Linked DNA regions of Macaca mulatta. The protein of the gene in region 3 interacts with the protein of the main gene of each other region in a pairwise test. Links are inferred from orthologs where the notes say so. Each region holds a gene or a part of one and is shown on either strand. Other genes may lie near its edges. The genes, in order: COPZ1, COPZ2 and COPG1.

What was found.
Region 1: the proteins of COPG1 (region 3) and COPZ1 interact in a two-hybrid assay, tested with the Homo sapiens proteins (2 studies listed by BioGRID). The link is inferred for Macaca mulatta from reciprocal best matches to the Homo sapiens genes COPG1 and COPZ1.
Region 2: the proteins of COPG1 (region 3) and COPZ2 interact in a two-hybrid assay, tested with the Homo sapiens proteins (2 studies listed by BioGRID). The link is inferred for Macaca mulatta from reciprocal best matches to the Homo sapiens genes COPG1 and COPZ2.

The regions. Positions count from the first base shown.
Region 1 is NC_133416.1:61,517,989-61,522,284, forward strand, and holds the start of COPZ1 (coatomer subunit zeta-1), read left to right. Parts: upstream 1-1,495; 5' UTR 1,496-1,519; coding exon 1,520-1,537; intron 1,538-4,296. UniProt on the Homo sapiens protein: The coatomer is a cytosolic protein complex that binds to dilysine motifs and reversibly associates with Golgi non-clathrin-coated vesicles, which further mediate biosynthetic protein transport from the ER, via the Golgi up to the trans Golgi network.
Region 2 is NC_133421.1:61,984,647-61,988,731, reverse strand, and holds the start of COPZ2 (coatomer subunit zeta-2), read right to left. Parts: upstream 2,803-4,085; 5' UTR 2,786-2,802; coding exon 2,675-2,785; intron 2,249-2,674; exon of another isoform or gene 2,162-2,248; intron 1,927-2,161; coding exon 1,852-1,926; intron 1-1,851. UniProt on the Homo sapiens protein: The coatomer is a cytosolic protein complex that binds to dilysine motifs and reversibly associates with Golgi non-clathrin-coated vesicles, which further mediate biosynthetic protein transport from the ER, via the Golgi up to the trans Golgi network.
Region 3 is NC_133407.1:154,688,388-154,691,954, forward strand, and holds part of COPG1 (coatomer subunit gamma-1), read right to left. Parts: intron 3,126-3,567; coding exon 3,050-3,125; intron 2,222-3,049; coding exon 2,072-2,221; intron 1,734-2,071; coding exon 1,537-1,733; intron 1,225-1,536; coding exon 1,156-1,224; coding exon of another isoform or gene 1,094-1,155; intron 1-1,093. UniProt on the Homo sapiens protein: The coatomer is a cytosolic protein complex that binds to dilysine motifs and reversibly associates with Golgi non-clathrin-coated vesicles, which further mediate biosynthetic protein transport from the ER, via the Golgi up to the trans Golgi network.

The DNA.
Region 1 (4,296 bases), on a different chromosome or scaffold from region 3:
CGGCAGGGAGAATCGCTTGAAACTGGGAGGCAGAGGTTACAGTGAGCCAAGATCACACCACTGCACTCCAGCCTGGGAGACAGAGAGAGACTCCATCTCAAAAAAAAAAAAAAAAAAAAAAAAGAAAGAAAAAGAAAAATTCCTGCATAAGTCTGGAATCTCTTCTTGGAGAGCTCCTAAGGACATAATTTTCAGAGATGAGGGAAAAAAATCCCTGAGGGATAATTAAGGCAATAGGTATCCCTGCCCTAAGAGGAGTCAGGGATCAGGAAACCAAGAGATAGGGGAAAGCCAAGCTTCATCAAAACCATTCCCTATTGTGAAATCCTTGCATTCAGTAAACTTCTCTTTTCTCATTTTGCAACGGCTCGTTTCTTTCCTTTTCTTTTTCTTTCTTTCTTTTTTTTTTTTTTTTTTTTTTTTGAGATGGAGTTTTGCTCTTGTTGCCCAGGCTGGAGTGCAATGACGTGATCTTGGCTCACCGCAACCTCGGCCTCCTGGGTTCAAGAGAGTTTCCTGGCTCAGCCTCCCGAGTAGCTGGGATTATAGGCATGCTCTACCATGCCCGGCTAATTTTGTATTTTTTTTTTTTTTTTAGTAGATACGGGGTTTCTCCATGTTGGTCAGGTTGGTCTCGAACTCCCGACCTCCGATGATTTGCTCACCTCGGCCTCCCAAAGTGCTGAGATTACAGGCTTGAGCCACCGCGCCCAGCCACAACGGCTTGTTTCTATTGGAAAACCCCAGACCTTACTCCCTATAACCCTCCCTTATTCTAATCCCTTTCCCCGTTTGTCCCCCCAACTCCATCTCCAAAGACGATTTCACGTTGAGCCAAAGTTAGCTTTTACAAACTCTGACTTCTCATGTTCCTCAGGCCCAGCAAAGCCTGGAACTCCACCTTAGGGAGATTGTTACTGCGACTATCATCTCCTGGCAGCCTTGGTTTATGTAGTTAACATGTTGGGCCTTTCTTGGCTCTACTCTATGGTTGTGCAGACTTTCTGTGAGGATGCTGAAGTGACCCGAGCGAGCCTGAGGGAAGGGCTAGCCACAGAGATCATGGACCTAGGGGGCGCTGAAAATAGGGATTATTAGGGCAGGATCCCTGTTAGGAAGCGCCAGCGTTAAAGGCTAAGGAGACACAGCGCCCCCTAAAGAGGGTGCGGTTTAAAATCGCTAAATCAGGCCGACAATATCACGTGTCCCCGGCCCTACCAATTGAAAATTAACAATCGCTTCCTCCGTTCCCCATGGAAACAACCCCGCCCCACCGACCCTCCCGCCCTAATAAGTCGTGAGGTTTTGGCGTTTTATTGAGTATTCAAACTGACAATCAAACACCTGTGCCTTCTGGTTGGATACTCTGCTTCCGGTAAGCAAGTTAGTACAATAATTGGTCAACAGAGCAAGTCTTACCCAATGATCCTTATCCTAGGCAGGGCCTAATGGGGACGTATGGCCAATCAGCGGTGGCGTTACTTTTGCGGCTCCACGTCGGCACCAGCTGCGGGGCAAGATGGAAGCGCTGATTTTGGTAGGAGCTGGAGGGGCAGCAGAGATGCTGTGCTGTCCACAGGGGCCGGGAGTCAGGGTGCAGCCCGAGTGGGAGACGGGGAAGGAGAGTTCCGGGTAATTCTTGGGGACTGACGGTTCTGCCGACCCTTGGAATAAGTGTGTGGCCTAGTGTAGGAGCTAAAGCCTTGGTTTAGAGTAGGAAGCCCTGCCGGGGAGAGGGCATAGAGTCGGTGGAAAGTTAAAGGTAGCACATGGACTCCTTAGGATACACAGACCTGTAAGCGTACTGGATTAGGACTCTTCAGGTTTCCCCTTATTTTTAGCATTGTGGATGATATCCTGATTTTAATTTACCCAAACCACCAAACTAGCCCCATATTGTGAGAAAGGAATACAGATGTTTTGTCGTTACAGGCTCCTCCTGATGGTTTCCCAAGTTTGACTCTCCATTGCTGATTCCCTGCCACATTCTTTCAGGAAACTGTTTTCTCTTGGGTTTCCTATTAATCCCTATTAAATAGGTTTGTCATGATAAAGAATCAGTGTTTCATCAAAGTTCTGGGATACCTGATAAAGTTAGCATGGATTGTGGAATATTTTTTCCAGACTCCTTATTCTGTTCTCCTTTTCTCTACCCATTGGACCTTAGGAATTCTTTTTTTTTTTTTTTTTTTTTTTTTGAGACCGAGCCTTGCTCTGTCGCCTACGCTGGAGTGCACACGTGGCACGATCTTGGCTCACTGCAGTCTCCGCCTCCCGGGTTCAAGCTATTCTCCTGCCTCAGTCTCTTGAATAGTTGGGACTATAGGCGCGTGCCACCATGCCCGGCTAATTTTTTTTTGTATTTTTAGTAGAGACGTGGTTTTACCATGTTGGCCAGGCTGGTTTCGAACTCCTGACCTCAAGTGATCCGCCGGCCTCGGCCTTCCAAAGTGCTGGGATTACAGGCGTGAGCCATCGCGCCTGGCCAGGAATTATTTTATTTTATTTATTTATTTATTTATTTATTTATTTATGAGACGGAGCCTCGCTCTGTCGCCTAGCCTGGAGTGCAGTGGCGCGATCTCGGCTCATTGCAATCGCCGCCTCCCTGGTTCACGCCATTCTCCTGCCTCAGCTTCCCAAGTAGCTGGGACTACAGGCGCCTGCCACCATGCCTGGCTAATTTTTTGTATTTTTCTTTTTTTTTTTTTTTTTGAGACGGAGTCTTGCTCTGTCGCCCAGGCTGGAGCGCAGTGGCCAGATCTCAGCTCACTGCAAGCTCCGCCTCCCGGGTTTACGCCATTCTCCTGCCTCAGCCTCCCGAGTAGCTGGGACTACAGGCTCCCACCACCTCGCCCGGCTAGTTTTTTGTATTTTTTTTTAGTAGAGATGGGGTTTCACCGTGTTAGCCAGGATGGTCTCGATCTCTTGACCCCGTGATCCGCCCGTCTCGGCCTCCCAAAGTGCTGGGATTACAGGCTTGAGCCACCGCGCCCGGCCAATTTTTTGTATTTTTTAGTAGAGATGGGATTTCACCGTGTTAGCCAGGATGGGATTTCACCGTGTTAGCCAGGATGGTCTCGATCTCCTGACCTCATAATCTGCCTGCCTTGGCCTCCCAAAGTGCTGGGATTACAGGCGTGAGCCACCGCGCCTGGCCAGGGATTCTCATTGTATGATCTAGGATGCTAATTTCTCCCTTTCTGGTTACATGAGAATTGTGGTCGCTACAAGGAGTGTATTAGCCCTCTTGTCCATATGATGCTTTATGCTTGTTCTAACAAATAAAATACCTGTTACCCCTTATTTAGAACTGAACCAGATAATTTCTCTCAAAAGTGCCCTATTTTGCGATTTGGAGGGGTGTGTGTGTGTGTATGTGTGTGTGTGTGTAGGTAGGTAGGTAGGTAGTTAATGTAGGAATTTAACTCCCAGCCTCCTTCGTTAATTGGCTTGAACTCCAGGCCTCTTTCCAAAGAAGCTTGTCTTTTATTTTCCTTTAGATCTCCTATGCATACATATTCAGATCCTCGTCAGATAAAAGAATAACAGTTTTTAATTCCTCTCTTTCAGCATGTTAAAGACAGATAATTCCGACCATCCTGGCTAACACGGTGAAACCCCGTCTCTACTAAAAAATACAAAACACTAGCCGGGCGAGGTGGCGGGCGCCTGTGGTCCCAGCTACTCCGGAAGCTGAGGCAGGAGAATGGCGTAAACGCGGGAGGCGGAGCTTGCAGTGAGCTGAGATCCGGCCACTGCACTCCAGCCTGGGCGACAGAGCCAGACTCAGTCTCAAAAAAAAAAAAAAAAAAAAAAAGACAGATAATTCCTTATGTCAGTTGGTCAAATATAGGTAAAAAGCTTAAAATCTGAGTAGTTTTAAATATTTTCTGTACCAGGCAGTTAACAAATATTCTTTTTTTTTTTTTTGAGATAGAGTCTGGCTGTGTTACTCAGGCTGGAGTGCAGTGGTACTATCTTGGCTCACTGCAACCTCCGTCTCCCAGAATCAAGCAATTCTCGTGCTTCAGCCTCCCGAGTAGCTGGAATTACAGGCACGTGCCACCATGCCCAGCTAATTTTTGTATTTTCAGTAGAGACGGTTTCACCATGTTTGCCAGGCTGGTCTGGTCTTGAACTCCTGACCTCAAGTGATCTGCTGCCTTGGCCTCCCAAAGTGCTGGGATTACAGGTGTGAGCCACTGCACCTGCCCAGTTAGCAAGTATTTTTTTTTTTGTTTTTGTTTTGGAGACAGAGTCTCACTGTGTCATCCAGCCTGGAGTACAGTGCTG
Region 2 (4,085 bases), on a different chromosome or scaffold from region 3:
AACAAACAAACAAAACAAAAAAAGAAGTCAGGTAACTTCCCCAACATCTCACAGTTGTGAGGCCAAAGCTGGGTTTGAGCAGTAAGGACGGTCTGACTGCAGACAGGGTTATAGTGAAGATTAAATATCTAAGAAACAATCCCTCGCACATATCCCATAACTAAATTAATGTTTTTTTGTTTGGGAATGGTGAGCCTCTTTCTCTTACTCAGTTTCTTAATCTGTAGGGAGCAAGAGGCTTTGGCCTTGCTGATCCACCTCTGACCATCTGCTGGGGCAAGGTGTGGTCAGCTCAGTTTTCAATTTTCTGGATGTGGATTTTGCCACTTAGTACTCAATCTGCAGGCAGATTAGCCAGCTCCCTACTGGCCGCTGCTTATCTGAATGTCATAAAAACAGAAAAGTTTCAGCTCCAAACAAACAAACAAACAAACAAACAAACAAACAGAAAATCTATTTTTTGAGATGGGGTCTCACTCTATAACCCAGATTGGAGGGCAGTAGCTCGATCATGGCTCACTGCAGCCTCAACCTCCCAGGCTCAGGCGATCTTCCCACTTTAGCCTCCCCGAGCGCTGGGACTACAGGCGCACACCACCACACCCAGCTAATTTTCATACTTTTTTTTGTAGAGATGGGGTTTGCCATGTTGCCCAGGCTGGTCTGGCACTCCTGGGCTCAAGCGGTCCACCCGTCTCAGCCTCCCAAAGTGCTGGGATTACAGGCATCAGCCACTGCGCCTGGCCTTATAATGCATTTCTTTTCTTTTTCTTTTTGAGACAGAGTTTCTCTCTTGTTGCCCAGGCTGGAGTGCAATGGCGCGATCTTGGCTCACTGCAACCTTTGCCTCCCAGGTTCAAGCAATTCTCCTGCCTCAGCCTCTTGAGTAGCTGTAACTACAGGCGCCCACCACCATGCCCAGCTAATTTTTTGTATATTTAGTAGAGACAGGGTTTCACCATATTGGCCAGGCTGGTTTTGAACTCCTGACCTCGAGTGATCTGCCCACCTCGGCCTCCCAAAGTGTTGGGATTACAGGTGTGAGCCATTGCGCCCGGCCTTATAATGCATTTCATAGCTAATGCAGATGCTGTAGTTCCACTACAATTAATTGTGTTGACAGCAGAAATTTATTTTTGGATTATTTTAGGCCGTGTTTGCTAGGATAGATAACAGATAATTGAATGGGGGTACAGTGAAAACCACCTTGAGCTTAATGTAAAAAAACCTGAGTTTGCCTGTGAAACCTGTGAAATGGGAGAAGTGAAAAAATTAAATAAGTAAATAAATAAAATATGAGTTTGGATCTGTTAGGATATTAATACTTGTGACCTCAGGCAATTCACTTAGCTTCTCTACACCTCATTTTCTTCATCTATGAAATTAAAGAGTTGTATTACACAGTCTCTAAAATCCCATCTGGTTCTAAATCCTTAGACTCCTTAGGCTAAATCCTTAGTGTTTACCAAGCTGTAGAACAAAAGTGGAGGTTTTGAGGAGGTTTAGAGACAAACCCCAAAGAACAAAAGAGCTTGTGTAGGGGTTTGGGGACTAAGACTCCTGGGTCCCAGGCTCAACACTCCACTGATCCATTAGGCAGAAACTTCCCATGCCCAGGTCCAGCTGGCCAGTACCGATGATGAGGAAACACTTCAGGGAACATGAGTAGAAACAGGGGAGACCCCTCACTTCAGGGAGCAGCACCTTGACAAGGCAGGAGGATGAGAAGGACTTCTGGAGGGGTCTAAGCTGAGCTGCCCTGAGTCACAGAGACCACAGTGGAGTTTCTCCTGAGACAGGAGTGTCAGCTGGATGGGAACTGTGTCCCTCACAGGTGGGGTCAGAGGTTACCTTGGCCAGCAGCCGGCGCCCGTCATTATCTAGGATGAAAACAGCCTTGATGGTGTAGAGGGAAGGTTCCTGCAACTGACACCGGGGAGGAGAGTTCTGTTTGGCCCCTGGCTCAAGGTGGACACCCTGTCTCTATGGGATCTGCTGGCCCTAGGATACACCCTCAGGCTCCAGCAACCCCAGCCCTCAAGGTCCACAGCTGGTTCTGCCCAACCCTGTGCCACATGGGCCAACCCAGGTGCCCACTCCACTCCCAGGCAGATGTTCCACTGCAGGCCCCGAGTGGGCGCTGTGCCCGTTGGGTGCAGAAGGTCCTTCCGGGCCCAAGTTCTGTCATGCACTGACTGCTCCAGAGCCCGAGTCGGAGTGTATCACAGAACCTGGGCCGGGGGGGACAGCGGGCCGAGCCTCCTCCTTCCAGCTGATCCCTGGCCGGGCTGGACCTGCGCTCTCAGCGCGCCCCCAGGCCCTGGCCCTGGCCCGGGTGGACTCCAGCAGCATGCCCATCACCCACCGGTGATGGGAGGCGAGTCTGGGACGGACAGGCCACTCCTTACCCTCCCCGCGGAATCGCAACTCACCCGCCACCCCCCGCTCCAAACGGACCCAGAACTTCAGCCCCGCGCCGACGGACTCAGGACAGGCCTCCTCGCCGGTTGGCGCCGGGACGAACTTTTCCTCCCGGGTCCTGGGGCCGGTCAGGGGTGACACAAAGTTCCCAGCCGCTGGGCGCGCGAGTTCTGAGTTGGCTGCTCCCCTCAATCCTGCACCGTCCCGGCCCAGCTCCCGCCGCCCGGGACCCCCGCTCCCGCCCGCTCCGTACCCGCAGCCCCGAGGGCTCCCCGGCTCGAGCAGGCGGCGCCGGGCCCCCGGCCTGGGCCGCCGCGGCCCCCTCCCCCGGGTGTGGACGTGGCCAGGCCTCGGGCCGCTGCATTCCGCTCGCCGCCTCGCACTGACAGCGCCGCCCGCCTCCTGCCCGCCGCCGCCGCCCCGCCTCCGCGCCCGCCCCGTGGCCCCCTCTCGCGCGTGGCCTTCCTTTCCTCGGGGCCCCGTTCTCTTGCTCGTTCTCCCCGCTCTCCCCTCCCGCCCTCACCCCAGCTCTTCTTCCCCCACCTCTCCTTTCCCTCTCTCCTTGGCTCCTTCCCGAGTCCCTTACAGCCCCGAACTCTGCATCTTCAGGGTGCCCCAAGACCAGCCCTCGTCCTGCTTTCTGCCTGCTCTCCGGCCTGTGGCTTTGGTGTGCACCGGTGTCTGTAGGCTGTCCTGGGGCCAGCAGCAAACACAAGCAAAGCCCACTTTTTTCTGTTGACCTCTGGTAGGTACCATGGGGACAAATATGTCAGATCACCCTTTAGATCTCCGGGACAGGGTCTATAAGCAAGAGCACATGAGGACAGTTCTGGGGACACTCCTCTGTGAAGAGGCTTTCCCATTCCTCTCTCACTACTTGCAGAAGGGAACCATGGCCGCGGAGACACCTCCCCAGGCTCTCCTAAGACACAGATATGGCACCATCAAAAGCAAGACAGACGCCCAGCAGCACAAATGCTCCACCAATGACATTGGGCTTTGCAGCATGTTTTGGTTTCTTTGGTCTAAGTGTACCAAAGACAAGCTCTCATTTCAGGATATGCTGGCAAGTGGAAAATTCACACCCCAGTGATATGTATGTTAGTGGTACGTATGCATTTACTGGTAAAAACACTGTGCATGTATTTTACATTTGACACCTTCACATACGTTATCTAATATAGCCCACACCTGTGAGGTAGGCATAATGGACCCTCATTTTAAGGAAAGAGAGACTCAGAGGTTGTGTCACCTTTTCAAGACCATACAGCTAGTTGACTGGGAATAGAACCCAGATTTTTGACTCAAAATTTCTTCCCTATTCTTCTCTTCAAGCCCTCTTATGTTGTGGACCACAGTCACTTACCCTAGATGGTTACAGAATGGGGTTTTCCTCACTGAATGCATCAAGCCTTCTTATCTTCAAGCCTCTGCTGAAATATCATTACCAAAAGGTCCTCCTGACAGCCACCATATCTGACTTGATCGGTCTCTCCTGTCACATTCTCTATCTCAGTTCCTATTTCTTCCTTTCATTGCACTTTTCTCAATCTCTAAACATTATTTTTACTAATTTTGCTTGTTTGAGACATGGTCTCACTCTGTTGCCCAGGCTGGAGTGCAGTGGCTCGATCTCGGCTCACGTCAGCCTCAACCTTCTGGGC
Region 3 (3,567 bases):
TAGAATGGTCTGTGTCTGGTTAAGACCTATGCCTACACCCTATGGCCAGGTTCAAGCACTGGATTTAAGCACAGGCCCATGGGACCCCACCCTGGCTGGTCCTGGCATTCCTTGCAGACTAAAGGGAATAACCCAAGTGAATGAGGCATCTGGTAGATGTGTGCACATGGTGTCCACCTATAATGGCTACAGCTACCACTCTTGCACCTATTCTATGGCAGGATTCCTCGCACTATGACCATGGATCACCTGTATCAGAATTACTAGGGGTTGGCGGTAGAGCTTGCTAAAAACTCAGATTCCATCCCAAATCTACTACATCAGAATCTCTGGTTTCAGGATCAAGGAATTTGCATTTCTAATATGTTTCCTCAGATTATTCCAATATATACTGATATTTGAAGACCACTGCTCTAAGATTCTCAACTTGTCTTCCCAATTAATTGAACTCCATTAGAACAGGAATTGTGCTTTGAGGCCAGGGATCTGATATTTTTCCCTGTACTTAGAAGGTACTCAATTCACGTTTCAGACATAGAGAAAGGTGGGCCTTATTGTTATTATTTTGCTTTTTTCCTCCACAAAAAGTCGGCCTATGCGACTGCTTCAGCCCTCTGCAGCCTGAAGACTGAATCTAATGAACGCGCAGGCAATAAAAATCCCAGAACAATCTAGGCTAGATATTAGGAGCAACTTTTGGGCCACCATGACCATCAACCACCAAAGTGCTTTTCTATTGCTATTTATTTTCTTGGGAGTCAGAGTTTTGGCCTGATACTTACTACCTGGGGGATTCTGTTGATAGGGTTTCAGACTCTTCTTCAATAAAACTGATACAATTATCTTGATCACAGTGTTGTTGTAAAGACAAATGAGGCAATAAATATCAAGATCTAGGAAAGTTCTTGGCACTGAGCCAGTTTGATCTGGATCTTAATTCCAGCCGCTCCTACCACTTTCTCTCTCTGAACTTTCAATTCCTCAGATATTGAAGGAAACTAACAACCACCATCTGAGGGTCAAATGTGATACTAGGTCTAAAGCATCTCAAGGGCCCAGCACTCAGGAGAGACCAATAAATGACAGTTCTTACTCTTGATCCCCCTGAGGAAACTGAGCCCAGGTCCCAAGCACCCCCCAACCACTGTGACTCACCCTGGAAGATCTCCTGCCTGGTAGCTGCCACTTTCTCAGGCTGTTTGACTGCTGTGATGGGGGTGCTTTCTGCAGGAGCAAATTATACACATGATGACCAACGGCTGCAGTCATGGGGCAGTGTGGTGGTGACCCCAGCGCTGTTACTCAGGGATTATGAATACTAACCCTCCTGAGAGTGGAAAGCACAGGACATGTGAGAGAGCACACATCTGTGTGTATGTGTGTCTCTATTTTTGGGATCCAGAGGCGGAAAGGATCATTTCCTCCTCCCAGCATAACTCCCACCCGTCCCAGTTAGGTTTAGTGGCTTTGCAGCCAATGCAGACCCTCTGACAGAGGCCTGGCCTTGATGGCCTCTGGGAGGAGTATAGGTGTTACCTGTTCTCTGCTCTGCCATGGGCGCTGTGGCCAGGGGTACAGACTTGAGGTCAAAAGGTTTTTCTGATGGTTCTAGAGTGTACTGCTGCAGAGCCCTCTCCAGACCAGGGATGGACACAGTCAGACCTAGAGGCGAAGAGAGGTCACCATGTCTGGCAGACAGAGCAAAATGCGCACCAGGGACCACCATGGAGGCCCTGGGTCCCGAAGTTACAAGTCCTAAGTGGTACGACCCTGAGAAAATCACTTTATTCTCTAAGCCTCTTCATTCTCAGATACATCCTCCCTTACAGGGTAGGTGTGAGGAATAAACATACATACGAAGTGACTTGTAAAGGGTAAAGTACTGTAAAAATAAAGTTTTTATTAATGATGAGAGTTTGAATTCACTGGACAATTTCCACCCACACTGGTGTGACCTGAATGACCCAGGACCTCCTGAGGTCACCGTGATGCCATGTGGTTACCAGGCAAGTCCAGCCACGAGCATCTTGCCTCGGATTTCCCCTGCCCAGGGAGTGATGAGAAGAACCACAGCTCCAGTAAGGTGCTGAGTCCAAGGTAGCTAGGGAATGACTCACCATTTAGGATATAGCCTGCATTGAGGGCCTTCTGCTTCTGCTCCAGGACATTTAAGTAGAAGGTGGCTCGGTCCCTTACTTCATTGTCATCATCCATCACACACCTGCAGCCGGGACACAAGGTGGTCCTGACTGGGGCCCAGCAGGGATGGCAGGAGGGATCCTGCAGGGCTTCATTAGAGGCAAGTCCATAGGGATAACAAGTAGACTAGTGGTGGCCCCAGGCTGAGGGTGGAGGGAGTGAGGAGAGGCCACATTCATGAACATTGAGTTCCTTTTTGGGATGATGAAATGTTTTAAACCCAGGTTGTGGTGATGGCTCCATAACTCTGTGAATATGCTAAAACCCACCAAACTACACATCTTAAATGGGTAAATTGTATGGTATGTGAATTATATCTCAATAGATTTTTTTTTTTTTTGAGATGGAGTCTCGCTCTGTCACCCAGGCTGGAGTGCAGTGGTGCGATCTCGGCTCACTGCGAGCTCCGTCTCCCGGGTTCACACCATTCTCCTGCCTCAGCCTCCCAAGTACCTGGGACTACAGGCGCTCGCCACCACGCCCGGCTAATTTTTTGTATTTTTAGTAGAGACGGGATTTCACCATGTTAGCCAGGATGGTCTCAATCTGACCTCGTGATCCACCTGCCTCGGCCTCCCGAAGTGCTGGGATTACTGAGCTACTGCACCCAGCCTCAATAGAGCTATTTTTTTTAAGTGGGCAAAATAATTTAAGTTACCAATTGTCACATCTTGTTGGTGCGATTTGTACAGCATTGTTTTTCATGCTTTTCTATGCTTTCTCTTTTTTTTCTACAATCAGTAGCTGTAACTTTTCTCTCCCTTCTCAGTTAAAAAAAATAAAGACAAAGGAAAGCTGCTTGAGTCTAAGGGAATATTGTTCCCATGAGGGCCCCTGGGCCTAGACTCACCTCTTCAGCAACACCAAGATACTGGGTAACATCTCTTCATTCTGGGCTCCAAACTTGGCCAGAGCACTCACAGCACCTGTGTTTAGGAAGCGAATGTGATTTACCCAATGCACCCTGACAACTCACTGGGTACTTCCAGCACTCAGAATGGGTCTTCAGGCAGAAGAGCCCCAGAGGCAAGAAGTCTCAAGCCAGAAGGCCCAAAGTCACTATCAACACAGTGAGTGGCTTTGGGTGGATCTTGGCGCCACGCCAGTCCTCAACTTCCTTATCTATTTAATGGAAAAGGGAGCCAGATGGGATCAGTAGCTCCCATTCTAAGGTTCCAGGAGCTATTTTCAAATTAACCATGATGAGGTCACAGAAGCTGGCTATAATGTAAAGCTCCTCACCTTCCATATCCAAATGGCGTCAATTTGCAGTTAAGGCTCAGAATAATATAAATGAGAAAGGGAAAAATTACTTAAAGATTATCAATTGTTGAAAGAAGAAAATCTGTCCAGTGGGGGCATGAAAAG